Callithrix jacchus: one gene and its partners. The protein of the gene in region 1 purifies or fractionates together with the protein of each later gene. This does not show direct contact. Links are inferred from orthologs where the notes say so. Each region holds a gene or a part of one and is shown in the gene's direction. Other genes may lie near its edges. The genes, in order: BCL7A, SMARCD2, DPF1, DPF2, SMARCC2, SMARCC1 and ARID1B.

What was found.
Region 2: the proteins of BCL7A (region 1) and SMARCD2 purify together in Homo sapiens (affinity purification with mass spectrometry; 5 studies listed by BioGRID and IntAct, counting the BioPlex papers as one, with this or other methods). This does not show direct contact. The link is inferred for Callithrix jacchus from reciprocal best matches to the Homo sapiens genes BCL7A and SMARCD2.
Region 3: the proteins of BCL7A (region 1) and DPF1 purify together in Homo sapiens (affinity purification with mass spectrometry; 3 studies listed by BioGRID and IntAct, counting the BioPlex papers as one, with this or other methods). This does not show direct contact. The link is inferred for Callithrix jacchus from reciprocal best matches to the Homo sapiens genes BCL7A and DPF1.
Region 4: the proteins of BCL7A (region 1) and DPF2 purify together in Homo sapiens (affinity purification with mass spectrometry; 3 studies listed by BioGRID and IntAct, counting the BioPlex papers as one, with this or other methods). This does not show direct contact. The link is inferred for Callithrix jacchus from reciprocal best matches to the Homo sapiens genes BCL7A and DPF2.
Region 5: the proteins of BCL7A (region 1) and SMARCC2 purify together in Homo sapiens (affinity purification with mass spectrometry; 4 studies listed by BioGRID and IntAct, counting the BioPlex papers as one, with this or other methods). This does not show direct contact. The link is inferred for Callithrix jacchus from reciprocal best matches to the Homo sapiens genes BCL7A and SMARCC2.
Region 6: the proteins of BCL7A (region 1) and SMARCC1 purify together in Homo sapiens (affinity purification with mass spectrometry; 4 studies listed by BioGRID and IntAct, counting the BioPlex papers as one, with this or other methods). This does not show direct contact. The link is inferred for Callithrix jacchus from reciprocal best matches to the Homo sapiens genes BCL7A and SMARCC1.
Region 7: the proteins of BCL7A (region 1) and ARID1B purify together in Homo sapiens (affinity purification with mass spectrometry; 4 studies listed by BioGRID and IntAct, counting the BioPlex papers as one, with this or other methods). This does not show direct contact. The link is inferred for Callithrix jacchus from reciprocal best matches to the Homo sapiens genes BCL7A and ARID1B.

Annotation. Positions count from the first base shown.
Region 1 is NC_133510.1:125,249,561-125,253,060, forward strand, and holds part of BCL7A (B-cell CLL/lymphoma 7 protein family member A), read left to right. Parts: intron 1-204; coding exon 205-372; intron 373-3,500.
Region 2 is NC_133506.1:89,120,517-89,124,804, reverse strand, and holds the start of SMARCD2 (SWI/SNF-related matrix-associated actin-dependent regulator of chromatin subfamily D member 2), read left to right. Parts: upstream 1-1,488; 5' UTR 1,489-1,499; coding exon 1,500-1,715; intron 1,716-4,288. UniProt on the Homo sapiens protein: Involved in transcriptional activation and repression of select genes by chromatin remodeling (alteration of DNA-nucleosome topology).
Region 3 is NC_133523.1:33,800,902-33,804,401, reverse strand, and holds part of DPF1 (zinc finger protein neuro-d4), read left to right. Parts: intron 1-138; coding exon 139-189; intron 190-282; coding exon 283-402; intron 403-2,377; coding exon 2,378-2,490; intron 2,491-3,500. UniProt on the Homo sapiens protein: May have an important role in developing neurons by participating in regulation of cell survival, possibly as a neurospecific transcription factor. Belongs to the neuron-specific chromatin remodeling complex (nBAF complex).
Region 4 is NC_133511.1:122,425,075-122,428,574, forward strand, and holds part of DPF2 (zinc finger protein ubi-d4), read left to right. Parts: intron 1-38; coding exon 39-146; intron 147-471; coding exon 472-635; intron 636-2,796; coding exon 2,797-2,889; intron 2,890-3,043; coding exon 3,044-3,122; intron 3,123-3,500. UniProt on the Homo sapiens protein: Plays an active role in transcriptional regulation by binding modified histones H3 and H4. Is a negative regulator of myeloid differentiation of hematopoietic progenitor cells. Might also have a role in the development and maturation of lymphoid cells.
Region 5 is NC_133510.1:63,473,953-63,478,154, forward strand, and holds the start of SMARCC2 (SWI/SNF complex subunit SMARCC2), read left to right. Parts: upstream 1-1,402; 5' UTR 1,403-1,427; coding exon 1,428-1,538; intron 1,539-3,585; coding exon 3,586-3,705; intron 3,706-4,202. UniProt on the Homo sapiens protein: Involved in transcriptional activation and repression of select genes by chromatin remodeling (alteration of DNA-nucleosome topology).
Region 6 is NC_133516.1:30,366,093-30,369,592, reverse strand, and holds part of SMARCC1 (SWI/SNF complex subunit SMARCC1), read left to right. Parts: intron 1-43; coding exon 44-157; intron 158-1,239; coding exon 1,240-1,393; intron 1,394-2,707; coding exon 2,708-2,821; intron 2,822-3,500. UniProt on the Homo sapiens protein: Involved in transcriptional activation and repression of select genes by chromatin remodeling (alteration of DNA-nucleosome topology).
Region 7 is NC_133505.1:163,604,918-163,609,037, forward strand, and holds the start of ARID1B (AT-rich interactive domain-containing protein 1B), read left to right. Parts: upstream 1-1,320; 5' UTR 1,321-1,623; coding exon 1,624-3,390; intron 3,391-4,120. UniProt on the Homo sapiens protein: Involved in transcriptional activation and repression of select genes by chromatin remodeling (alteration of DNA-nucleosome topology).

The DNA of each region.
Region 1 (3,500 bases):
GAGCCAAGATTGAGCCACTGCACTCCAGCCTGGGTGACAGAGCAAGATCCATCTCAAAAAAAAAAAAAGGATAACCAGATTCCTCCCCGAGAGAGCTGCCGTGGGGCTCTGGGCATTGAGGCACAGGGAGGCAGAGCCCCCCAGCCCACCTGTCCTTGGCAGCTGTGGGATTTCATCCTATGGTTCTGTTCCCACCCCCGACAGATGATAACAGCAACCAGAGCTCCATCGCGGATGCCTCCCCCATCAAACAAGAGAACAGCAGCAACTCCAGCCCCGCTCCGGAGCCCAACGCAGCTGTGCCCAGCGATGGCACTGAGGCCAAGGCAGACGAGGCCCAGGCTGATGGGAAGGAGCACCCAGGAGCTGAAGGTACGTGGCCTCCAGGGCGGGGCTCTGGCGGTCTCCCTGTAACTGCCTTCAGGCAGTCTGTGGCTAGGTGTTCAAGGAGGCCCTGCCATGTGCCTGCTCCAGCAAAGATACGATGAGGAGAGGTGACACCTGGAGTACATGTTCTGTACCATGTAATGACCATGTCCTGTGGGGCAATTAAAAAAATCAGAAAGAGTCGGGCACAGTGGCTCACGCCTGTAATCCCGGCACTTTGGGAGGCCGAGGTGGGTGGATTGCCTGAGCTCAGGAGTTTGAGACTAGCCTAGAGAATACAGTGAAACCCTGTCTCTACTAAAAATACAAAAAATTAGCTGGGTGTGGTGGTGCGTGCCTGTAATCCCAGCTACTCAGGAAGCTGAGGCAGGAGCGTCACTTGAACCTGTGAGGCAGAAGTTGCAGTGAGCCAAGATCATGTCATTGCACTCCAGCCTGGGCAACAGAGCAAGACTCCGTCTCAAAAAAAAAAAAAATTAGGCCAGGCTAATGCCCTTTTCGGCCTTAGCCCACCTGCCCCCAGGTGAATAAACAGCCATGGCACTCACACACACACACACACACACACACGCACACACACGCACACACACACATTAGGCCAGGTGCAGTGGCTCATGCCTGTAATTCCTGCACTTTAGGACTGCTTGAGCCCAGGAGTTCAAGACCAGCCTGGGCAACCTGGCAAGACCTCATCTCTACAAAAAAAAAAGAAAAAAATAGCCAAGTGTGGTGGCACACACCTGTGGCCCCAGCTACTCAGGAGGCCGAGGTAGGAGGATCGCTTGAGCACAGGAGGTCAAGGCTACAGTGAGCCGTGATCATGCCTCTGCACTCCAGCCTGGGTGACGATAAGACCCTGTCTCAAAAACAAGTAAATAAATAAAAATCAAACCATTGGCCAGTAATGGTGGCTTACACCTGTAATCCTAATGCTTTGGGAGGCTGAAGCAGGAGTATCACTTCAGGCCAAGAGTTTGAGGCCAACCTGGGCAGCATAGCAAGGCCCTGTCTCTACAAAAAAATTTCAGAAATGAGCTGGGCGTGGTGGCATGTACGTGGTCTCAGCTACTCAGGAAGCTGAGGCAGAGTATCCCTTAAGCCCAGGAGTTGGAGGCTGCAGTGAGCCGTGATTGTACCACTGCACTCCAGCCTGGGTGACAGAGTGAGACTTTCTTTCAAAAAAAAATAACAGATGGTGGAGTGATTGTGAGAGTATGTGTGTGTGACTGTGTACAAAAATATATGTGTGTGTGTGTATTTTGAGTCTACAGACAAGTTGAAAGCACAGCCTAGTCCTGTCCTGGATGTCACCTGCTGAGCTTGGCGGTTGTTGGCTGTTGGGGTTTCTTTGCTTTGTCTGTTTTTTTTCTGGGACCATTTGAAAGTAAGTTACAGATCACAGGGCATTTCATCCCTAAACATGGCAGTACACGTCTTTTAAAAATAAAGACATTCTGGGCTGGGCACAGTAGCTTATGCTTATAATCTTAGCACTTTGGGAGGCGAAGGCAGGAGGATCTTTTGAGCCTAGGAGTTTGAGACCACCCTAGGCAAGAAGATGAAACCTCATCTCTACAAAAAAATTCAAAAATGAGCCGGGCATGGTGGCCCGCAGGTGGAGTCCCAGGCTGAAGTAGGAGGATTCACTGAGCCTGGGAGGTCAAGGCTGCAGGGAGCCGTGATTGCACCACTCCAGCCTGGGTCACAGGTTGAGACCTTCCTAAAAAATAAAAGACATTCGTATAGAATTACAAACACCGTTATTGCATCTAAGAAAATGAGCGACATTCTGGATGGTCTAACATGGAGGTATATTTTGAAGGTGAGGTGAGAGCCTGTGTCAGGCAATACATGGGGGTGAGGGTGACCCTGGGCACTTGGAGAGAGAGGCAGTGGCTGAGCGGATCTGGGGAGGGCAGGTCAGGTCTAGAGCGCCTTGGACAGCTCCCCATGGAGCTGTCGAGCACGGAGTGTGGAGTGGCGAATGTGGCCAGCCTGCAGGTGGGGCAACCTCAGGGCTCGAGGTGTGTGTGTCTTGGGAGCAGCCAGTGTGGTTCTAGGAGAAAGGGGACTGCTACAGAGCTGATCCGCGCCCCTGTGCACAGAGGCTCTGGGCTGGTGCTGGGGCCCCGGTCACAGCTGCACTCTGCTTCCTGCCCCCAGAGAACTCAGAGGTCGGCAGGGAGGACAGACACTGGAACCCAGGATTCACTGCAGAGTTGCAGACTCCATCCAGCACATGCTGTGAGGGTCTGGCCATACAGAATCCAGCAGTATCATTTTTTAAATTTGAATGTGATGTCACAATTTAAAAGTTGAGCTTAAAATGGGATCGATTTCTAGCTTCTTTTGAAAGATCAGCTTGGATGAGACCAGGGCTGCTTTTCCCTGGGGCAGATACCAGCTAAAGCCGAAGAGACCCTTCCCTCTTGTCACTCCAAACCAAGACCTAAGGGCACTAGACCTGTATTAACGTGTGGCCGCTGTTGTTTTTCTTATTGTAGATTTTAAAAGGGAAATTAAGATATTTCTTGGTGTTTTTTTGTGTGCGGTTTTTTTTGTTTGTTTTTTTTGAGATGGAGTCTTGCTCTGTTGCCCAGGCTGGATGGAGTGCAGTGGCGCGATCTCTGCTCAGTGCAACCTCTGCCTCCCGGGTTCAAGCAATTCTCCTACCTCAGCCTCCTGAGTAGCTGGGACTACAGTCATGTGCCACCATGCCTGGCTAATTTTTTGTATTTTAGTAGAGACGAGGTTTCACCATATTAGCCAGGATGGTCTCTATCTCCTGACCTCAAGATCTGCCGACCTCAGCCTCCCAAAGTGTTGAGGTTACAGGCATGAGCCACCATGCCCGGCCTATTTCTTGTTTTTTGTTTGTTTGAAATGGGATCTCACTCTGTCACCCAGACTGGAGTGCAGTGATAGAATTTCAGCTCACTGTAGCCTTAAACTGCTGGGCTCAGGTGATCCTCCTACCTCAGCCTCCCAAGTAGCTGGTACTGTAGATGTGTACCACCATGCCCTGGTAATTTTTGTAGTTTTTTGTACAGATGGGGTCTTGCTATGTTGCTCAGGCCAATCTGGAACTTCTGGGCTCCAGCGATCCCCCCACT
Region 2 (4,288 bases), on another chromosome or scaffold:
CCTGTTAGAAATGCAGAGTCCTGGGCCCTACCCCAGACCTCAAGAATCATAATCTGCATGTTTACTAAGAGCCTCAGGTGTTTTTTATGTGCTCATTAAAGTTTAAGCAGCACTGGTCTGTATCACAGCAAGGAGAACCAGACCATCAGACGGTAGGCTCCCTGGCACAGCTGAAGCATTTTCAAATACTTTGATACAGGACAGTGTATCTGAAGATACTGCATTTTTGAAAATTAAGTGCTATAAATACTGGAGAAAGACCTCTTTTTTTTAAAAACTGCGGGGAGATTTCTCATAAGCCAAATTTCTTTTGACTAGAAGCATTTTCTGGGGAGTAAAGTACCAGGCTTCTTTAAAGTGAGGCAGAGCAACGTTAAAAATGTGCGATAAGAACTCAGTCTTGGCCAAGTCGACCGTTCACCAGCTGGGTCAAGTCTGGAGTCGCCTAGGTCCCTTGGCAGTTCTGAGCCACCAGGATGAGGGTTTACAGGAAGTCGAATTGGCTGCTGTTCTGCTCCAGAGAGCAGCTGAGTCTTTTTTGTTTTTAGACAGAATTTTGCTCTTGTCGCCCAGGCTGGGGTGTGCAATGGCGCGATCTCGGCTCACCGCAACCTCCACCTCCCGGGTTCAAGCGATTCTCCTGCTTCAGCTCCCAAGTACCTGGGATTATAGGTGCCCGCCACCACGCGCGGCTAATTTTGTATTTTTAGTAGAGACAGGGTTTTTCCATGTTTGTCAGGCTGGTCTCGAACTTCTGACCTCAGGTGATCCGCCGCCTCAGCCTTCTAAAGTGCTGGGATTACAGGCGCGAGCCCGCGCTCCCGGCTCTCAGATGGGTCTTTAACGCGGAAGATGCAGAAAGGAAACTTGACAAAACTATTTTGTGAGTGTGGCCGGGGAATTCGGTGAGGGTGCTACACGGAAAAAGTAGTACCAACCGCTCATTCACTGTGAAGCCCGTAAGTGACCTTAGACCTCTAACCCCGCGCCTCACTCCGCCCTTCCGTGCGCAGCTTCCGCTCCCGCCCCTCCGGCAAAGGGCTGGCCAAGGGGTGTGGGCGGGGCTCTGAGGTCGGCGGTTAGGGGCGGTGCCCGCTGGGGGAGGGTCTCGCGAGGGGCGGGATTCGAGGAGACACTCGAGCATTGGGCACCAGGTAGAGGCGGGGTCTAGGGCTGGGCTGAGTTGGGCGGGGCAGGGAGTTCGTAGCCGCCTCTGGGTAACTTGACTCGGGCAGCCAAACCTCCAGAGGCCGGGGACGGCAGGCGGGCCCGCAGCGGATCCTGGATCCGGAATCTCCCGGGCAGGAGCGGAATCTGTCCCGAACCAGGTCTGTGAGGAACTCGCAAACTTGGATTAGGAAATCCTGGAGCCCGGATCGACAAACCCCGGCACCCGGAATTAAGATCGCCAAGTCCCGGATCACGGAGCACAGAGCGCGGAGCGGACTCTACGCGGAGCCCGGATTCCGGATCGCGGCACCGCGGGACGGGACGGAGCGATGTCGGGCCGAGGCGCGGGCGGGTTCCCGCTGCCCCCGCTGAGCCCTGGCGGCGGCGCGGTGGCCGCGGCCCTGGGAGCGCCGCCGCCTTCTGCGGGACCCGGCATGCTGCCCGGACCGGTGCTTCGGGGACCAGGGCCAGCTGGAGGCGTGGGGGGCCCCGGGGCCGCCGCCTTCCGCCCCATGGGCCCCGCGGGCCCCGCGGCGCAGTACCAGGTGAGCAGAGAGGACGCGAGCCGACGGGGGCGTGCAGCGCCGTGAGGGCGCCTGGGCGGGGGGCTGAGGGGGGCTCGAGTGAGGGCCCTGGGGAGTGCCTGAGGAACTGTGGAGGGCGGGTAGGGACCCTCAGGGTGCGGCGAGTGGCGGTGGAGGAGTGGGGAAAAGGAAGCGTGTTCCGTAGCGGAGGGCTGGAAGCAGCTGGAAGGCCTGGGGGCTTCCTCGCACAGGGATTCCGAGTGACTGGGAGATGGAGGAGTTTGGGGAGCCAGAGAATTGTGGGCAGGTGGGTTGGGAAGTTTAGGATAGGAGGGCTGGGAAGTGATGAGAAAGTTTGGGAAAGGGCCCTCGCTGAGAAACCGTGGTTACCCTGCATCGGCCTTGGTCCCACTCCAGGTCTGCCCTGTTTTTTCTGGTTAGGAACTGGCCGAGCTGAGCTCTAGCGTGTCTGAGATAGTTCCCGGCTGCTAATGAAGAGGAAGGAGCCTGGCGTCCCACAGGCACGGGACGCGGAGGCTAGGGCCAGGGATTCCAGCTTGGGCACCGGCGGACTTTACTCCTGAGGCAGGGCCTTCGCTGGCGAGGACTCCAGCTTAAACCAGAGACGGTGGTGGCCAGGCCTGAAGGGAGGCCCAGCCCAGTCACAGGCCGCCTCTCTTCTGGCCTTTCTGCCTGCTGTCATAGTGTCCAAGAGTTGATTAGTCTGGACGTGCAGAGTGGAGCCCTGCTGGTCTGGGGCGGGAGGAGTCTGCGAGAGTTGCTTCAAAGAGTGTCGTCCTGACCCCTTTGGGGTTTGAGAGCTGCTTAGGTTGCAGCTTCAAAAGCCCTTGCAAGGCAGCGACTTCTGCTCAGTGTGTGAGGACCTCAGCCTGACCCTGCCGGTCCCCAAGTCTGCTGTTCAGGTTGCCCCAGAAGGCTTAGAAACTGCCCATCTGCCTTCCCACCAGCTCTGCACTTCTATTTGGCATTCAGGTTCTAACTCGGCCACATCCCAACCCATGTGCCCCAGCATTTGACGCTGGTGTCTTCCTCATCTCCCCGGGTCTGTCGTGAGGCTTCTCTGTTTTTGACTCAGGTCTCCAGGTGGAGGTCCTTAGGGATCCTCGTGGAGTATACACAGCCCACCTGCCCCCTGAGCCTCATTTCTAAGGAGATACTTAATTAGGGACACTGACTGGATTTCTTTTTCCCCCTTACTAATTCTTCCTCCTTAAGAGAAAACAAAGGGTCTGGGTATGGGCAGAGACAGACCTGGTCCCAGAGACTCCAGCTGAGGCCCACCTTGCTCTCCGCCTGGGGATTCATGGGCCCAGGGTGTTGCTGAGGGCTCCATGCATCAGTTATTGGCACCCTCAGACCTGCTCTCTGACACCTGGCCTGGGCACCACCTGTGGGCCTTCGGCCTTGGACAGACCTGGAACAGACAAGCGGCTCCAGTTTCCTTGGCATGTAAGCCATAGGAAATGTGCCCTTCGGAAAGCCCCTGAGAGGATGGATTCCACAGTGTTTGGTGGGGGTGGCCTTGGGCCTGTAGCAAGGCCAAGCTGGCTGGCTGGTTAGGCCTGGTCTGCTAGCTGGGGGGATGTTGGAGATGGCCCTGAATCTGAGTTTCCCATCCCACTAGCTTTCCTCTTCCTCCTGGAAGGAGAGGTAGATGGGAAGGAGAACCCAGGCAGCTAACTGTGGCTGAGTTTGAAGAGGATCCTACTTGCCCTCTTTTCAAGTCCAGTTGTATGACTTCTGGGAGAAGGGACTTTAGATCTGGGGAACAAAGGGATTCCTATCTGTTAGGGCTCGTGAGATGTGCTGGAAACTCTATTTGAGGCCCAAGCTGAGCAAACAGGGGAGCCTGTTGAAAGAAGGGAAGCAATGACCTCCCTCCCTCCAGAGGGTGGCCCTAGCTGTGGATCACAGGTAACAGGAGCCTAAAAAAGAAAAAACCCTCCAGGGCTGGGTGTGGTGGCTCACACCTGTAATCCCAGCACTTTGGGGGAGGGTGGGGGCCAGACAGAAGGATTGCTTGAGACCAGGTGTTCAAGACCAGCCTAGGCAACATAGGCTGTCACCTCTTAAAAAAAATTTAGCCAAGTGTGGTGGTATGCACTTATGGTCCCAGGTACTCAGGATGCGGTAACAAGAGGATTGCTTGAGTCCAAGAGTTCAAGGCTGCATTGAGCTGTGATCCTGCCACTGCACTCCAGCCTGGGCAACAAAATAACAAAAACCACAGATTGTTGGGTTCACTCCAGAGAGTTCAAAAAGTTCAAGATACTTTTTACTCACGGGAGGGTGGCAGTAGTTTCTCCAACCGAGGCCCTCAGGCCCAGTCTCCAGGAGCATCAGGGCCACATTTTGGGCAGGTCAAAGCATACTTGCCTGAGCCCTGGATGCCTCACCTCGCGGCCACAGCATCAGACCCAGCCTCCTGCCCTGCTGCCCTTGGTGGTGGTGGTAGACTTAAGCTTAGAATATGGGCTGGTGCCAGGCCAAGGAAGAGGAGGGCGTTGCATCCTTCTGGGGTTCAGGGGATTGAGCCAGGGCTACCTGGTCCTGCTGCAGGCAGGGAGTTTGGG
Region 3 (3,500 bases), on another chromosome or scaffold:
CCACAGTTTAGGGAAGCTACTCACTCTCCCCACCTCCCCACCTCCCCACACCTGGACCAAGAGGTCCATCCTGAGGCTGGGGGCAGGGTGGAGCCTTGCCTGTGGTGAGAGCCCCTCTCTCTGTCCCCCCTACCCCAGAGTTTTACAAAGAATTGGCCTGGGTCCCTGAGGCACAAAGGAAACACACAGGTACGGATGCCTCCCTCTGCTCCTAATGTCTGCAGCTACCTTTGCTGGGTGCCCCCGCCTGCCCCTCACCAATGCTGGTCTGCTGTCTTGCAGCCAAGAAGGCGCCTGACGGCACTGTCATCCCTAACGGCTACTGTGACTTCTGCCTGGGGGGCTCCAAGAAGACGGGGTGTCCCGAGGACCTCATCTCCTGTGCAGACTGTGGGCGATCAGGTGACAGTCCCCACCTGAGGTTTCTGGGGGCTGGGTGCAGAGGACATCTAGGAGTGCAGAACTGGAGGGTGGGAGGCAGGGTGGTGAGGACCAGGGGGACCCGGAGTTTGTCGGGGATACTGCGGATAACCACAGTTAGTGAGGCTGATTCAAATGCTGAGGATTGTGGGAACTGGGTCAGATCAATGAGGCTCCGGGGATAATGGGATGTGGCTCTCATGGCACTGTGCTTAGTATGGCATCAAGGGTGTGAGAGGCTGGGTGTGGTGGCTCACGCCTGTCATCCCAGCACTTTGGGAGGCCGAGGTGGGAGAATCACTTGAGGCCAGGTATTTGAGACCAGCCTGAGCAACACAGAAATACCCCATCTCTACAAAAAATTTTAAAATTAGCCAGGTGTGTTGTTGCATACCTATAAGTCTCAGTGACTCAGGAGGCTGAGGCCAGAGGCTCGCTTGAGCCCAGGAGTTTGAGACCAGCCTGGGCAACACAGTGAGATCCCATCTATGAAAAAAATAGCTGGCTATGGTGTCACACCACATTGGTCCCAGCTACTTGGGAGGCTGAGGTGGGAGACTTGCTTGAGCCCTGGAGTTTTTTTTTTTTCTTTTTGAGATGGAGTCTCCCTCTGTCACCCAGGCTGGAGTGCAGTGGGCCAGTCTCGGCTCACTGCAACCTCCACCTCCTGGGTTCAAGTGATTCTCCTGCCTCAGTCTCCCAAGTAACAGGGATTTAGGTATCTTTAGTACAGACAGGGTTTCACCATGTTGGCCAGGATGGTCTCAAACTTCTGACCTCAGGTGATCTACCCACCTCGGCCTCCCAAAGTGCTAGGATTACAAGCGTGAGCCACCTCGCCCAGCCCCTTGAGCACAGGAGTTTCTGACCAGCCTGGGCAACATAGTGAGACCCCATCTATTAAAAGAAAAATAGCTGGGATAGTTTTGCACTCTATCAATCTCAGCTACTTGGGAGGCTGAGGTGGGAGGATCGCTTGAGCCCCAGAGGTCGAGGCTGCAGAGTGAGCTGTGATGGCGCCACTGTACTCCAGCCTGGGCGACACAGCGAGACCTTGTTTCAAAAACCAAAACGAGACAAAAGGAGTAGCAAGAGACGGTGGCCAAGGCATGGCAGGTAGCAGGCTGTGCGGTGTGAATGACGGATGCCACCGCCTGGGCGCTGGTAGCAGGCTGGGCTTGCGGTGGAACTGTGGTTAACAGAAGGTGGTTCCCCATGCTGGACTGCAGTTGCCTCTCAGCACAGTGGGTCATGAATGGTGGTTGTCATGGCATCATGGGTAGTGAAATATGGTTGTCATGGTAACTCGGTATCCCGGAATGCGGTTGAGATGGCAGCGGGGCCATGGCTGCAGGCGACGTGCACCATGGGTCAGGGCTGCAGGTAGCGGCCTTTCGGGTGTCTCTGCGCTGGGGCCACGGAATGACTAAGAGCCTGGCACTGCACAGTATTGTGGGTAGCAGTTTGGTTGCTGGGGCATCAGGTGGGATGGGCTTTCATGGCATGAAACCGAGGTGTGGGGACCTTGTTGTGGAAGGCAGTTGCCATGGCATTGTGGCTGGGAGAGTGTGGCTGCCACGTTGCTGTGGTTAGCAGGACCCCTGGCCACTCTGCTGTGGGGAATGGAACGTGGCTGTCTCAGCCCGGTGGTTAAGAGTGTGGTTGCCACGGCGTTGTGGGTGGTAGAAGGGGTTGCCACAGCACTGTGGGTAATGGAATGCGGTTGCCATGGCATTCTGGGAGCAGAGTGTGGTTGCCATGGTGGGTGTGGTTGGAGACTGTGGTGGCCGGGGGACTGAGGCTGGCCACGTGGTTGCTGGGCAGGTGTGGGGACCCTGGCGGCTCATCCCGGCCTCATGAGTCATGGGTAGGGGCTGAGCTATGGCTTCCCCCAGCTGTCAGTGCCCACCAGGGGCGTGGTGACCCCCTAACTGCACCCCCTCCCCTTGGCCCTTAGGACACCCCTCGTGTTTACAATTCACGGTGAACATGACAGCAGCCGTGAGGACCTACCGCTGGCAGTGCATCGAATGCAAATCCTGCAGCCTGTGCGGAACCTCTGAGAACGACGTGAGTGCCGCCCGGCCCCCCCCCCCCCCGCCGTGCCCCCGATGCCTGCCCCGCCTATGCATCCGCCTCTGCCCCTCCAGCCTAAAGCCTGTGCCTGAGCCCTCCCTGTGATCACGAGTCCCCTGTGTTATCATTATGCTGGTGTCCATAAATCAAACCTGGTACTTGTTCCTCTTCATCTCTCCGGCTCCTCCCTAGAGCCACCTCTGAGGCAGGTGTTCCTGTCCCCACTTCACAGGGAAGGAACCGAGCTCAGAGAGGGGAAGGACCCTGCCCCAGGTCAGCCAGCAAGGGAAGTGGTGGAGCTGAGGTTTCAAGCCACGACCACTGCTGGCAGAGCTGGTGTCAGAGCATCTTAGTGTTGTTTAAAGCCTTCCACAGCCTGGGTAACCTGTAATCCCAGCACTTTGGGAGGCTCACACCTGTAATCCCAGCACTTTGGGAGGCTGAGGTGGGTGGATCACCTAAAGTCAGGAGTTCGAGACCTGCCTGGCCAATATGGTGAAATCCCCGTCTCTACACAAATACAAAAATTAGCTGGGGGCCTGTAATTCCAGCTACTCGGGAGGCTGAGGCAGGAGAATCACTTGAACCGGGGAGGTGGAGGTTGCAGTGAGCTGAGATAGCACCATTGTACTCCAGCCTGGGTGACAGAGCTAGACTCTGTCTCAAAAAAAAAAAAGGCCATGACCACTGCTGGCAGAGCTGGCATCAGATCACCTTAGTGTCACATAAAGCTTTCCACAGGCGGGGCATGGTGGACCCAGCACTTTGGGAGGCTGAGGAGTTTTGAGCCAGGAGTTCTAGACCGGTCTGGACAACATAGTGAGACTCCTGTCTCTACAGAAAATAAAAAAAGAAAGAAAAAGCCAGGCATGGTGGCACAGTCCTATAGTTCCAGCTCAGGAGGCTGAGGCAGGAGAATCATTTGAGCCCAGGAGTGTGAGGCTGCAGTGAGCTGTGACTGCACCACCACTGCACTTCCAGCCTAGGTGACAGGGTAGGACCCT
Region 4 (3,500 bases), on another chromosome or scaffold:
GGGTTAGGGCCTGACTTCTGTCTTTCTTCCTGCCACAGGATTGGCCTCTGGACAGCTGTATTCCTACCCTGCCCGGCGCTGGCGGAAAAAACGTCGAGCCCACCCCCCTGAGGATCCACGACTTTCCTTCCCATCTATTAAGCCAGGTAAGGCACACACTTCTTGAGCAGAGGTGTGGCCTGCTGCATGGTGAGAGCCTGCTAATCACCGTGCTATACCAGGCGCAGTGCTAGATACCGAATATACTCAAATAAATATGATGTGATTCTTTCCTTTAAGGAGCTTAGTCTAGTAGGGGAGACAGGTAAACAGGTACGTTATGGTGCCAATTGAACTAGGGTGTCTTCATTCCTGGGCATCCAGAGAACAGAAGACAGTGACTTACCTTTGGTAAGCCCCAACATGATGTGGACTCAGAGCAGTCTGCTTTCAGCCCTTCTGAGCCTTGCTTCATTCTGACCTTGCTTGCAGACACAGACCAGACCCTGAAGAAGGAGGGGCTGATCTCTCAGGATGGCAGTAGTTTAGAGGCTTTGTTGCGCACTGACCCCCTGGAGAAGCGAGGTGCCCCGGATCCCCGAGTTGATGATGACAGCCTGGGCGAGTTTCCTGTGACCAACAGTCGAGCGCGAAAGGTACAAGATTATCCCTGTGGCTCAGGGAGCTTTGATAGAAATCAGCTTCCTCTTCACTGGGGGCCACCCAGTTTCTAGAACTGAAACAGAAGCTGGGGTCCAGGAAGCAGGCCCCTGCAGTTCTGTTCTTACTTTAAACCCTGATTATTGTCAGATACTGACTGACCTCTCCATTGCCATTTAGATTTTTCTGCTCCTTCTAAGTATAGACTCTCACTCATTCATCTACTTTTATCACAGAAGGTTATTATACATATAATTTTCATTTAAAAAATTAAAATAGGCCAGGTGCAGTGGCTCATGCCTGTAATCCCAGCACTTTGGGAGGCCAACGCAGGAGGATTACTTGAGCCCAGGAGTTCAAGACCAGCCTGGGCAACAAAATGAGACCCCATCTCTACAAAAAAAAATTTTTTTAAATTAACCGGGCATAGCGGCATACGCCTGTTTTCCCAGCTGCTAGGGAAGCTGAGGTGGGAGAATCGCTTGAGCCTGGGAGTTCGAGGCTGCAGTGAGCTGTGATCTTGCCACAGCACACCAGCCTGGACAACAAAAAAATTAAAACCAGGAGGTGCAATAGCGGTCAGTGAAATCCCATATACTCTTTTTTTTTTTTTAAACAGTTTCACCTTTGTTGCCCAGGCTGGAGTGCAATGGTGCAGTCTTGGCTCACTGCAACCTCCACCTCCTGGCTCCTCCTGCCTCTGCCTCCCGACTAGCTGGGATTACAGGCATGCACCACCACACCCGGCTAATTTTATATTTTTAGTAGAGATGGGGTTTCTCCATGTTGGTCAGGCTGGTCTCCAACTCCTGACCTCAGGTGATCGCCTCCCAGAGTGCTGGGATTGTAGGCATGAGCCACTGTGCCCAGCTGAAATCCCATGTACTCCTAACCTAGATTTATCAGTTTAACATTTCGCCACATTTGCCTTATCTAACTTTGCTAAACCGTTTGAGAGGAAGATGCATATATCAAAAACTTTCAGTGTAGGCAACATAGCAAGACCTTGTCTCTGGGCATGGTGGTACACACCTGCAGTCCCAGCTACTCGGGAGGCCAAGGTGGGAGGATTGCTTGAGCCAGTAGATTGAGGCTGCAGCTCTGATCATGCTACTTCACTCCAGCCTGGGTAACAGGGAGGCCCTGTCTGGGGGAGCGTCAGGAACAAACTTGTATCCCTGAATACTTGACACTTCTTTTTTTTTGAGACAGAGTCTTATTCTGTCACCAGGATGGAGTGCAGTGGTGCGATCTCAGCTCACTGCATCTCCATCTCCTGGGTTCAAGCGATTCGCCTGCCTCAGCCTCCCAAGTAGCTGGGACTGTAGGCATTCACCACCACACCTGGCTAATCTTTTGTATTTTAGTAAAGATGGAGTTTCACCAGGTTGGCCAGGACGGTCTCGATCTCCTGACCGCGTAATCCTCCTGACCTCTTGGTCCGCCTGCCTCACCCTCCCCAAGTGCTGGGATTATAGGCATGAGCCACCACGCCGGCCCCTACTTTACTCTTCTGTCACAAAAGTTTGTGTCACAAAGTTTTTTGGTCTCTGAGGTTACACAGCAAAGCAGACTTGGTCTCTGCCAACAGAGAAGATAAGACTATAAGAGCTATAAATATGCTACTACTGGGCTAAATGCTTATTCATGCCCTTTTTCCTTTAGTCTGTACAACCTTACGGAGTAGGTCCTGTGTTCCCCATTTCACAGATAGGCTGAAAACAAAGCAGTTTAAAAACTTCCCACAAGGTCACACAAATAAGCAACAGCACTTTCATTTAAACTAGGAAGTGAGTGTCAGAACAGAACCACCAATATTGTGCTCCCTGAGTGGCCAGTCAGAGGCAGGAGAAGGCGTGGCTACTTAGGGTATCAGGACAAACTTTATGGAAGCGGGCTATTTGATTTGGCCATGTGGCATGGTGGGGAAAGCATTTCATGCTAAGGAAACAAGGTGAAGCACAGGGGAAGGAAATCCCAAAGTATGGAAGGGAACGGGAGGAGAACTATGGGATGCCTATAGGGCAGTGGTGAGGAATGAGGCTGGTATAGGTGGGACCAGGTCATGGGAGGTTCTGGGCGGCCTTGGCCAGTCTCATCATAGGGGAGCTTTGGATGCACGTATTTCTACCCATGCTAACCCTCCTGTCCACTCAGCGGATCCTAGAACCAGATGACTTCCTGGATGACCTCGATGATGAAGACTATGAAGAAGATACTCCCAAGCGTCGGGGAAAGGGGAAATCCAAGGTGAGGGGCCAGCATGTTGCCTGCATCTCGGGAAGGGGTGGCCTGGGGAATTCCTCATTTTATTTCAAGTGAGATTAGCAGCCACTTCCAGAAGAGTCTTAACTCCTTAGGCCCAGCTGCCGCAGTAAGGATGTCTCTTTGCTCTTCTTGGCAGAGTAAGGGTGTGGGCAGTGCCCGTAAGAAGCTGGATGCTTCCATCCTGGAGGATCGGGATAAGCCCTATGCCTGTGACAGTGAGTGCCTCACAAGTGGGTGGGGTAAACCTTGCCTTGGCCCTAGCTCCTACTCAGGATATGAGAGGAGGGAGGGTTGTGTTTTTGCCCAGAGTATTAAAACAAACCTGGGTTCCTGTCCTGCCTGCTGACTGGTTCCTTCTGAGACCCCTGGGAGGCCTGGGTCCCTGCTATATGATGGGTGGAACCTGCATGCTCTGGGAAAGATTTCTGCCATCCTCTGGGGTGGGGTTGCTTGTGGGGGCCACAGCAGGCAGGGTTGGCCTCTCAGCAGATGCCCTGCAGGTCTCCTGGCCTCAGTTAAGCCAGGGCCCCAGGGGTCTGACACTGAGTTTTTCAAAGTCTGTTCTCTTTTTCTTTCTCTCTGGCTTGCCCCAC
Region 5 (4,202 bases), about 62 Mb from region 1:
TGCATAATTAAGCTTCCCAAGATCACTCTCATCCTCCCAAATCCAGGGGTAAGACCTTTTGGCAGCTTCCCTTTTGGAGACAGAAAGGAAAAGTGCACAAAAGACACGTGCGAGAACTAGGGTTACCTTTACATGTTAGGAAGGGGGTTAAAAAAGTCGCCATCAGGCCGGGCGCGGTGGCTCGCACCTGTAATCACAGCACTTTGGGAGGCTGAGACGGGCGGATCACCTAAGGTCAGTTCAAAAACAGCCTAGCCAAATGGTGAGACCCCGTCTCTAGTAAAAATACAAAAATTAGCCAGGTTTGGTGGCACATTCCTGTGGTCCCAGCTATTCGGGAGGCTGAGGCAGGAGAATTGCTTGAACCCGGGAGGCAGAGGTTGCAGTGAGCTGAGATCACGCCACTGCACTCCAGCCTGGGCAACAGAGCAAGACTCCGTCTTAATTAAAAAAAAAAAAAAAAAAAAGGCCATCGTCACGAACAGGATTCGAACCTGTGCGGGGAAACCCCATTGGATTTCGAGTCCAACGCCTTAACCACTCGGCCACCGTGACTTCCAAAACCGCGCTTTATCGCGCGCTTACAGAAGGGGTCCGCACTGCAACCGGGAAAGGCATACAAGAACTGAAAGCGGGGGCCCGGCCGCGAAACACACACCATAGAACTCCCCACCCCTAGCTCCTTACCTCCTATCTATGCCACTCAAAGAAAAAGAGTCGGATGAACCGGGTGGCCCAGGGAGGGAGGGCCTCCTGCCTAGCGAAGAGCGAGGTCTCAAGGAGCTCACAGCTACTTAGGAGGCGATGGCGAGGCCTGCGGAGGAAGCAGCCGAGGGAAGGGACTGGGGCCCCAGCGTGGCGGCTAGGGAATTTTTGGGTTAACAAGTGAGGGGGGTGCTGGGTGGGACCAGGCGCGAGAGGTGAGGGAGACTCAGAAGAGTTTAAATAGGCAGCTCCTGGGAATGGATGGAAGGAAGGAACTTCTTGGGGAAAGGGGTTTGGGTTTTGGAGGACTAGGGGCTCCGCGGGGTTAGGAATGCGCAAGGTGAGAGCCACTCTGGGGACCGGCGGCCGCCCGGGGTGGGATGGCGAGGTGATACTGCCGAGCTGAAGCAAAAAGAGGAAAAGGGCTTCGCGTCTGCTAAGAGCTATCTCTGGAGAATGGCGCCCCCTCCAGGAAGCGTCCTCCTCCCCGGAGGCTCCCGCCGCCGCTGCCGGGGAGGCCGCCAGGGTCGTCCCGCACCAGGAACTCCGCCGCCGCGCCCGGCCTGCCGGCAGGGGGCGCAGCGCGGACCGGGGCCGGCCCAGGCGGCGGGAGGCGGCGGCCGCGGCGGCGGGAGGCGGCGGGAGGCGGGCGGAGGAGGAGGCAGAGGAGGCGGGAGCTGAGCTGAGTGGGGCGGGCGGCGGCGGGGCCCGAGCCCGAGAAGATGGCGGTGCGGAAGAAGGACGGCGGCCCCAACGTGAAGTATTATGAGGCCGCGGACACCGTGACCCAGTTCGACAACGTGCGGCTGTGGCTCGGCAAGAACTATAAGAAGGTACGCGGGCCGGGCCGGGCCGCTTGGCGACCGGGGGCGGGACAAAGGGACAGCGGCCCTGCAGCCCCAGGATCCTGCCCACCCTCCAGCCGCCCCGGCCCCTCCCCCGCGGCCTCGGGAGCAGCCCCCCGCGCGCCCTCCCGCGCGCCCGCGCCCCTCCCCCAGCCTCCCTCTCCCCGCACCCCCAGCCTCCGAGCCCAGCCCCCGCCCTCACTGCTGCGCCCTCTGCCCCTTGTTTTTCTCCACTGCCCGGCGGGCCCCGATGCCATTAGCCCACCTTCCCCCTCAGCCATCGCCCTCCTGGCTTTTCTGGGAGAGGCGGCCGGCCGGGAGTGGACCGGGTGCCCAGTGAGCTCCCCCGCAAACCCGAGCATGCCCGCCAGAGCTCCCCACGGAGCCAGGTACCAGCGGGGCTGAGGCCTCCCCAGTGCTTTGTATATGTTCAGAGAGAGAGAGGATGGAAAGCAGGAGGGTAAACAGTCACACAGCAAGCCGCTGGCTGCTCATCAGCCTGAAAAAGGTCCCCACCCTGGGATCACCTGTCTCCGCCGCTCATCCCCCACCTTCATCTAAGGGGAAACAGAATCTCTCAGGGAGCCGGGGTATAGGAGTTCCTGGGTAGCGGCCCCTTCTGAAACCTTTCCTCGATTTTACAATGAAGTCACCCTGCAACCTAGCTTTGCAATACCCTGGGTTTGGGGTCCAGAGGTTAGGGTGAGCTTTCTGTCTCTAGCTCCTCACCCCCTAACCCCAGAACTGGAGATCATAAGGTAGTGAACAAAGGGTTCAGGAATCCTTACCTGTCTTTTCTACTAAACCTCTTCCTGGTGTCGTCTTTGTCTCTAGGCCTGGTTTTCTCTGGAAATGGTCTGCCTCTCTTCTTTCTCACTACTCCCAGAGAGGGGTTCTCTTTGTGGCTTTCTTTCAGCTCCCTGGTTCTTCCTGCCGGCTTTGCAACTAGTCAGAAGTGTGCTTAGTGGCTTAGGAGAACTTCCTGCTGATCCTGGTTATGAGACTAGTCCTGCCCTTGGGGTCTCTCTGGGTGTCAGAATCCTGACAAATAGCTGCTGTTTCTATGGCTGGTCTCTGCCCCTTTGTGAGGCTCTTGTTCCCAGGCCTTTTGACCTTTTGCAGGGAGATTAGGCTAGGGGCTTAGCCTGTAGCCTTGGGGTGATTGACAACTGTGACCTGGTTCAGCTTCCATGCTCTTAGCTCTTTGTCATTTACCTTTCCCTTCACAGATATCTTTTCACCTCTCACTGAGAGGTGCTGTCTTCTTTGTGATGAGGGTGGAGAAAACAGGTCAAAAGGTAAAAAGAAAGTCTCCTGGCTCAGGTTCAAATTAGAATGGAAGGCTAGGATGCTGCTAGGTAGCATAATGTGGAAACAGTGAAGCAGGACCAGGGTTACTTGTCTCAGATACAGTTTCCTCCGACAGGGTAGATGTCTTGCTCTTCTCCATCAGGCTAAGTAGCCCATGGCCCTTCCTGTCTAAGAGGGCATATGAAGACGTTTATACCCATTCTTCAGAAGCAAAATGCACAAGCTCACTCTCTCAGTCAGCTTGCCCTCCTTGACTTCCTTGACCTTTTCTTGTTAGGCTACATTATAGGGGGAATCATGGCTTTACACAGAGTTCCCCTAAGAAATACACTTTTGTCTCTCGTAGAGCCCCAGAGGTATTGCTTCCATGACCTCATCTCTGTAAACCTCCAGAATTTTACAGCCCTCAGTGCTGTGGGCTGAAGATGAGGTGCCAAAGTACTAGGGTCCTGCAGCTCCAATTTCAGAGTGTAGCTGAGGATGAGTAGTAAGCTTCCCTCTTCCCCCACACTGGCAACCTGGGCTGCTGGCAGCAGTGTTTCAGCTTCCTGGTTGGGGTGTCCAGGGTCTCCCTTCTGCCATTTTCTTTATAGAGACTAAATGGAGTAAAAGACACTATTTTCTCTGCTCCAAATGCTTCCAGAGTGCCTGGGGGAGAAATATGGGAGATAGTGGACAATTCATCTGGGGTCTATTTTTCTTTTCTTTCCCTCTTTATCCCTAGTATATACAAGCTGAACCACCCACCAACAAGTCCCTGTCTAGCCTTGTTGTACAGTTGCTACAATTTCAGGAAGAAGTTTTTGGCAAACATGTCAGCAATGCACCGCTCACTAAACTGCCGGTGAGTGCTGAAGTTGGGGGGAGGGTGGGGGGGGGCTGGTGGTGAATCCTTCAAACTGGAGAGTTGTATTTTTTAAAATATTTGTGAATTTTGTAATTTTTGAAATTTGGATTATTTTCTACCATTCCTATCCCTGGTCAGGGCATTATTGGCTTGGCCTAGTCCCCAATTTACCATTCCTTTTGTCTTAGTAATACTTTGTGCAGAGTGCCTGAGATTAGTCCCCGAGTCTCTCATGGTATGGTGAAAGGGGGTCTTGAGATTTGGATTTGCGCGGGCTTGTGTTTACATCCTGGCTTTGCCACTTCATGGCTCTGTGACCTTGGGCAACATTCATCAGTCTTGGTTCCTTCATCTCTAGATGGGATTAGTAAATCTACCTTGTAGGGTTTCTATAGTGGTAGCTGAGGTAATTCAGTAAAGTGTTAGCATATATTGGTTTCTTTCACTCCCCTCTTCCAGGCCACATGATGCAATGGCACAGGGGTTAAAGAATT
Region 6 (3,500 bases), on another chromosome or scaffold:
AAGAATACATATCCACCTTATGAATTTTGCCATTGATTTTTAGATACTTGGCATATCGAAATTTTATGATTGACACGTATCGCCTAAACCCCCAAGAGTACTTAACCAGCACTGCTTGTCGGAGGAACTTAACTGGAGATGTATGTGCTGTAATGAGGTAAAGCATTTGACTTTTTCTGAGACATTTCACTGTAGGAATTTACTGATGCATTGCTATCGAATGTTTGCTTGATTAAACTGGATATTTCAACTGGGTAAAACACCTAATTTTAGTTATCTCATTTAGGGGTTGATTATATTTTGTTTCTTTTTATTTCATTCAATTAAATTATTTTTATTTTATTATTTTAATTTAATGTTATCATGATGGGGTTTCACAGTGTTGCCAAGGCTGTTTTCAATCTCCTGGCCTTAAGTGATTCTCCTACCTTGACCTCCCGAAGCACTGTGATTGCAGGTGTGAGCCCTGGATTCAGGATTAGGAGTTGAATATTTAAAATACTTAATTTAGGCTGGGTGCGGTGGCTCATGCCTGTAATCCCAGCACTTTGAGAATCTGAGGCGTGTGGATCACCTGAGGACAGGAGTTCAAGCCTGGCCAACATAGTGAAACCCCGTCTCTATTAAAAGTACAGAAATTAGCTGGGTGTGGTGGCACATGACTATATCTCAGCTACTCAAGAGGCAGGAGAACCCAGGAGACAGAGATTGCAGTGTCATCCAGCCTGGGTGACAGATCGAGACTCTCTCAGAATAAATAAATATTTAATTCAGTTTTTTAGATTTTATAATTCATATTTTTAATTTTTTGTCAAATCATAAAATAAGCAGGGATGGAGTGGGTTCAGGTCGAGAGTGGATAAGCTCTGTGCCCTAGATCTGCCTAAAGACAAAAAAACAAAATGTGGATTTTTTTGGTGTGTATATTTGGTCTGTGTGTGATTTCATTTATTAAAATGGACCTAAATATGTATTTGTGCTCTCATTTCTGTGGTTGAAATGATTAGATTTTGTAATAGGTTTAGGGGGTGCTGTGTTATCAACGTTACTTGTGACTTAAGAAATTCTTCCTCAAAATCTGTCAGGTAGTTTGTGGTGTTTCATAGCCTGCTGAGAATATTTACTTCTTTTATTGTTTCTGTTTTTTAATAACATCATGATGATGATGATGATGATGATGATGATAAAGCACCTGAAGTTGATTCTGTAGATTTTAACTTTTCGAGCTTTTTTCTTTAGGGTCCATGCCTTTTTAGAGCAGTGGGGACTTGTTAATTACCAAGTTGACCCGGAAAGTAGACCCATGGCAATGGGACCGCCTCCTACTCCTCATTTTAATGTATTAGCTGATACACCCTCTGGGCTTGTGCCTCTGCATCTTCGATCACCTCAGGTAAATTAATGTCGACTTTTTCTTCAGAACTGGATAGTAACACCTGACTATTTACAGCATATCTATTTAGGAATAATTGTTATTGTATTATAATGGCTATTAATAGTGCTATTTCTTTTATGGTTGGTTGTGTGTGTGTGTTTTGGTGTACTGTAAATATTACAGTCCAAAATAATATATGCTATTTAAGTTAATGCTGTCCCACCAATCCCAAGACCCACTGCCTTACTCTATCAAATTATTAATTTACTTTTATATACATAACTTCCTTTATCCTTCTGTCATCAGATACTCATAAGTAAGCAGATGATGCAAAATGTTTTTTTTCTTCCTTCAGTCTTTGTTCTAAAAATGTGAGGCAAAGAAATCTTTATAACTTGTCCTAAGATTTATAAAGTTTATATTCATATATACATTATCAAACAGATTATGTCAAGGAAATTGTATTTAGCATTAAGTTGTATTTACAGGAACCTAAGGTATAAGAATTTTGTCCTATGGTGAAATAGAAGATAGTAATGAAAATTTTTTATCCTTTTTGGGACTTAAATGGACGCGAAAATGTGTCTTAAGTGTTGAATTTTTGTTAGAAGTATAGTGTAGAAGTGTGGGTATTTATTTTTTTGTAGGAGATCCACCAAGAGTGGTTTAAGTGCCAATATTAAACAGTTTTTTTTTTTTTGAGCTGGTGTTGTTCTCTCACCCAAGCTGGAGTGCAGTGGCGCAGTCTTGGCTAACTGCAACTACTGTCTCCCAGGTTCAAGTAGTTCTCCTGCCTCTACTTCCTGAGTAGCTGGGATTGCATTCCCTGCTAATTTTTGTATTTTTAGTAGAAACAGGGTTTACCATGTTAGTCTGGCTGGTCTGGAACTCCTGACCTCGTGATTTACCTGCCTTAGGCTCCCAAAGTGCTGAGATTACAAGCATGAGCCACCGTGTCCAGCCCCAGCAATTTTTTTTTTTTTTTGAGGCGGAGTTTCGCTCATTACCCAGGCTGGAGTGCAATGGCGCGATCTCGGCTCACTGCAACCTCCGCCTCCTGGGTTCAGGCAATTCTCCTGCCTCAGCCTCCTGAGTAGCTGGGATTACAGGCACGCGCCACGGTGCCCAGCTAATTTTTTGTATTTTTAGTAGAGACAGGGTTTCACCATGTTGGTCATGCCGGTCTGCTGACCTTGTGACCCACCTGTCTCAGCCTCCCAAAGTGCTGGGATTACAGGCATGAACCACTGCGTATGGCCCAGTTTTTGAAAAACATTTATCCTCTTGACTTTAAAGAGGTTAACTCAGCCATTTATCATTTATTTGACTCAGGTCCCTGCTGCTCAACAGATGCTAAATTTTCCTGAGAAAAGCAAGGAAAAACCAATTGATTTGCAGAACTTTGGCCTTCGTACTGACATTTACTCCAAGAAAACATTAGCAAAGGTAAGGATTTTGTTTTTAATCTAAACTCATGCAGGGTATAATCCAGCACGTCTTAGTACTTCTATGATACATCTAATGAGTTTTCTACTCAAATCTGGTGATATTTAAAAAAACACTATTAGAGAAAATCGAGGGGGGGAATGGAAAATTTGAACAGATAATTGGAATCTGTGAAAAGAATCATGAGGTCGGGGGTGGTGGTTCATGCCTGTAACTGCAGCACTTTGAGAAGCCGAGGTGGTCGGATCATGAGTTCAGGAGATAGAGACCATCCTGGCCAACACGGTGAAACCCTGTCTCTAATAAAAATACAAAAAGGAACTGGGCATGGTGCACATGCCTATAATCCCAGCTACTTGGGAGGCTGAGGCAGGAGAATAGCTTGAACCAGGGAGTCAGAGGTTTGCACCACTGCACTCCAGCCTGGTAACAGAGTGAGACTCTGTCTCAAAAAAAAAAAGAGTCATGAATATTTTAGAACTGAAAAGTATACTTGAAATTATTTGATGGGTTTAATAACAGGCTGCATATAGCAAAAGATAGGTTAGTGAACTCAGAGACAAATTAGTATATATGTGGAAACCTAGGTACCAAGAGCGAAAGAAATTGAATTGAAGTAGGGAGGGGCTAGGATAAAGAGAGGAGAGTGCAAAGATGTGATACAGTACAGGCTGGACAT
Region 7 (4,120 bases), on another chromosome or scaffold:
AAATAACCACTGCAGTGGAAATGAATCAAAATAGTTTTTATGGAAAGCTGAAGAATGAAATAATTTTGGAAAACTATGCCCTAACAAAACCTTAAATATTGTTTCTGCCAGCTTTTAAATGCTTTCTCTCCGTGAAAACTGAGTCCGCACTGGTACAAGTGGGCCATTGCCTAAGATTAAGAAGTCTTGCTTTTCAAAATGTTACTAAATGATTAATAACAATGCAAATATTTAAAACACTAGTAACAATGCAAACGTTTAAAACATTGTAAAATGATAGACACCAGTTTTTAAGAGAACAAAGTATGGAACGTTTCTACTTTAGGATTAGACTGTTTTACATTATTATTGGTTACATTTATTCAATATAATGTTTATAATATTTTTGTTTTGTTTCACATTTCTTTGAATGTATATCAAGAGGGTTAACTGTGTACATGCAGCTCTGAAATAGGATGAAAGGTGTCATGCAGATTTATGAAGATACAAGCTAACCCATAGCTGTCGCTGTTCTGGCACCAAGAGTTAAATTTTCCTGTGGAAGTTGGAGCAGAAAACACCTCTGTACATACTCGAGAGAGGACATCTAAGTGCACATAATAAGAAAAATGCTCCTTTGGGAATACTTGGAGTTTTCCTTGACAAGCCTAATACGTGTTTAAGGTGTCTTCAGAAAGAGTTATGTAAACATTCTCTTTGGAACGAGTGATAAACATTTATTAAGTACCTGCTGTGTACAAAGCACAGGGCTCTCTGACCGGGGCTAACTTTCATTTCAAATCTTTACTAATTCTGCAGTTGGAAGAAGTTGTGGGAATTACGCCGATGGCCCGAAATCAAGGCAGAGGCAAACGTTCTGAGAATTACATAACTCCTGGGAGAGACCGTGCTTTTGCACAGATTGCCTAAATATTTTCTTTCTCCGTCGGCTCCTTGTAACCTCTGAGGCCAACAGACAACTTTGTTCTCCGGCCCTTCTCCCTCTTTTGTCTGCTCGTCAGACTCGTTTTCCACCTTTGTATCGTTCCTTTTAGACGTGAAAACAAACACGCGAACGCCCGGTTGGCAAGGAGACAGCGGCCCGGGGGGAAAGTGCAGGTTCCGGCCGCCCCACGCCGCCGCGCTCCGGACCGCCGCCGAGCCGCCCCGGCCCTGGCCCCAGCCTTAGTCCCAGCCCGGCTGGGCCCCGCGAGGCTGAGCCGGGGCGGGCGGGCGGCGGCGACTGCAGCCCGGGGACGAGTCCAGTCCGCGTTTTGCGAGTGCGCGGGAGTAATGCGAGCGAAGTGGATAATAGTTGCTGGAGCTCGCCCGCTTCTTCTCATGCCATGCTGGGCCCGATAGGCTCAGCCAGTCGTGTATTTACCCATATCCGGGTTAGAGAGGAAAAGAGAAAAGTTTCATTTAAACCTGAACTAAAAACTTTCACCATGAAAGCACACAGCAGGAGCAGGCCCAGAGCGTAAGGCGTGCCCGGCCCGGCGCTCCGGCGGGGCCTGAGGAGGGGGAGGGGGTCGCGGCTTCCCGGCGGGCCGCGTGGATGCGCACAGGAGGGGCCGCGGCCTGAAAAGTGGGGGTTATTGTCTCCCCCCACCCCCCGCCCGGCCTCGCCACGCCGCGGCGATCATGGCCGCGCGGGCAGCAGCGGCGGCGGCGGCGGCGGCGGCGCGGGCGCGGGCGCGGGCAGGCAGCGGCGAGCGGCGGGCGCCCCCCGGGCCGCGGCCGGCGCCCGGGGCCCGGGACCTGGAGGCGGGGGCGCGCGGCGCGGCGGCGGCGGCGGCACCGGGACCCATGCCGGGGGGCGGCGGCGACAGCGGCGGCGGCCTGAACAGTGTGCACCACCACCCCCTGCTCCCCCGTCACGAACTCAACATGGCCCATAATGCGGGCACCGCGGCCGCCGCCGCCGGCACCCACAGCGCCAAGAGCGGCGGCTCCGAGGCGGCTCTCAAGGAGGGTGGAAGCGCCGCCGCGCTGTCCTCCTCCTCCTCCGCGGCGGCGGCGGCGTCCTCTTCCTCCTCGTCGGGCCCGGGCTCGGCCATGGAGACGGGGCTGCTCCCCAACCACAAACTGAAAACCGTTGGCGAAGCCCCCGCCGCGCCGCCCCACCAGCAGCACCACCACCACCACCATGCCCACCACCATCACCACCATGCCCACCACCTCCACCACCACCACGCACTACAGCAGCAGCTAAACCAGTTCCAGCAGCAGCAGCAGCAGCAACAGCAGCAGCAGCAGCAGCAACATCCCATTTCCAACAACAACAGCCTGGGCGGCGCGGGCGGCGGCGCGCCTCAGCCCGGCCCCGACATGGAGCAGCCGCAACATGGAGGCGCCAAGGACAGTGCCGCGGGCGGCCAGGCCGACCCCCCGGGCCCGCCGCTGCTGAGCAAGCCGGGCGACGAGGACGACGCGCCGCCCAAGATGGGGGAGCCGGCGGGCGGCCGCTACGAGCACCCGGGCGTGGGCGCCCTGGGCGCGCAGCAGCCGCCGGTCGCCGTGCCCGGGGGCGGCGGCGGCCCGGCGGCCGTCCCGGAGTTTAATAATTACTATGGCAGCGCTGCCCCTGCGAGCGGCGGCCCCGGCGGCCGCGCTGGGCCTTGCTTTGATCAACATGGCGGACAACAAAGCCCCGGGATGGGGATGATGCACTCCGCCTCCGCCGCCGCCGGGGCCCCCGGCAGCATGGACCCCCTGCAGAACTCCCACGAAGGGTACCCCAACAGCCAGTGCAACCATTATCCGGGCTACAGCCGGCCCGGCGCGGGCGGCGGCGGCGGCGGCGGCGGAGGAGGAGGAGGCAGCGGAGGAGGAGGAGGAGGAGGAGGAGCAGGAGCAGGAGCAGGAGGAGCAGGAGCGGGAGCTGTGGCGGCGGCGGCCGCGGCGGCGGCAGCAGCAGCAGGAGGCGGCGGCGGCGGCGGCTATGGGGGCTCGTCCGCGGGGTACGGGGTACTGAGCTCCCCCCGGCAGCAGGGCGGCGGCATGATGATGGGCCCCGGGGGCGGCGGGGCCGCGAGCCTCAGCAAGGCGGCCGCCGGCTCGGCGGCGGGGGGCTTCCAGCGCTTCGCCGGGCAGAACCAGCACCCGTCGGGGGCCACCCCGACCCTCAACCAGCTGCTCACCTCGCCCAGCCCCATGATGCGGAGCTACGGCGGCAGCTACCCCGAGTACAGCAGCCCCAGCGCGCCGCCGCCGCCGCCGTCGCAGCCCCAGTCCCAGGCGGCGGCGGGGGCGGCGGCGGGCGGCCAGCAGGCGGCCGCGGGCATGGGCTTGGGCAAGGACATGGGCGCCCAGTACGCCGCTGCCAGCCCGGCCTGGGCGGCCGCGCAACAAAGGAGTCACCCGGCGATGAGTCCCGGCACCCCCGGACCGACCATGGGCAGATCCCAGGTAACCCCCGCGCCGGCCGGGCCTGCTTCCGCCCGGCGGCCTCGCCGCGCCGCGAGCCTGAGTTTCTTTCTTTGCCGCGTACTTTTCCCCGTCTTCCCGCGGGGGTGGCGGGGGCGGCGGGGGCGCGGCGCCCAAAGCCATCTTGACGGGCGGCCGCCTCCCACCGCGGTCGGGGCGCCCCCGGGACCGACGAGCTGTCCAGGCCTGGGAGGGCTTCGCCGGGCCGGGCCGGGTGGCTTCGACCCCGCCGGCCCGCACCGGCGCCCCCACCCCTCCCCCAGGCCCGGGAACGCGAGGCGAGATTCCGAGGCGCCACCCGCACGGACGCCGTTTGGGGCGGCAGGGACCGTTCGGGTGCTTTTGTAACAAACAGGCTCACCCGGCCCGGACGGCCGGGGCGAAGAGCCACCTGATCGGCTCTGGGAGCGCCCACAGTGTGCTTTAACGGGGGAAAGAACGAGGAACTTTCTCTCACCTTGGGCCACAGCTCGTTCCCTCCTGGCTTCCGAGGTCCAGGCAGGGAAAATAGGTTAGCTTTGTGACAAGCTAGCGGGTTTTTCCTACTTAGGGAGAGCTTTTCAGACACACTCGGTGCGGGCTTCGAGCTCGAATGTTTGCTGGCAGGAATAATTCCAAAATTTACAACGACGGGGAGGTGCAATATTCTAAAATACATCGGTTCGTTCCTTAGAGTAGCCAGGGAAATCCATTATTGGGCTTACGGGCTGCT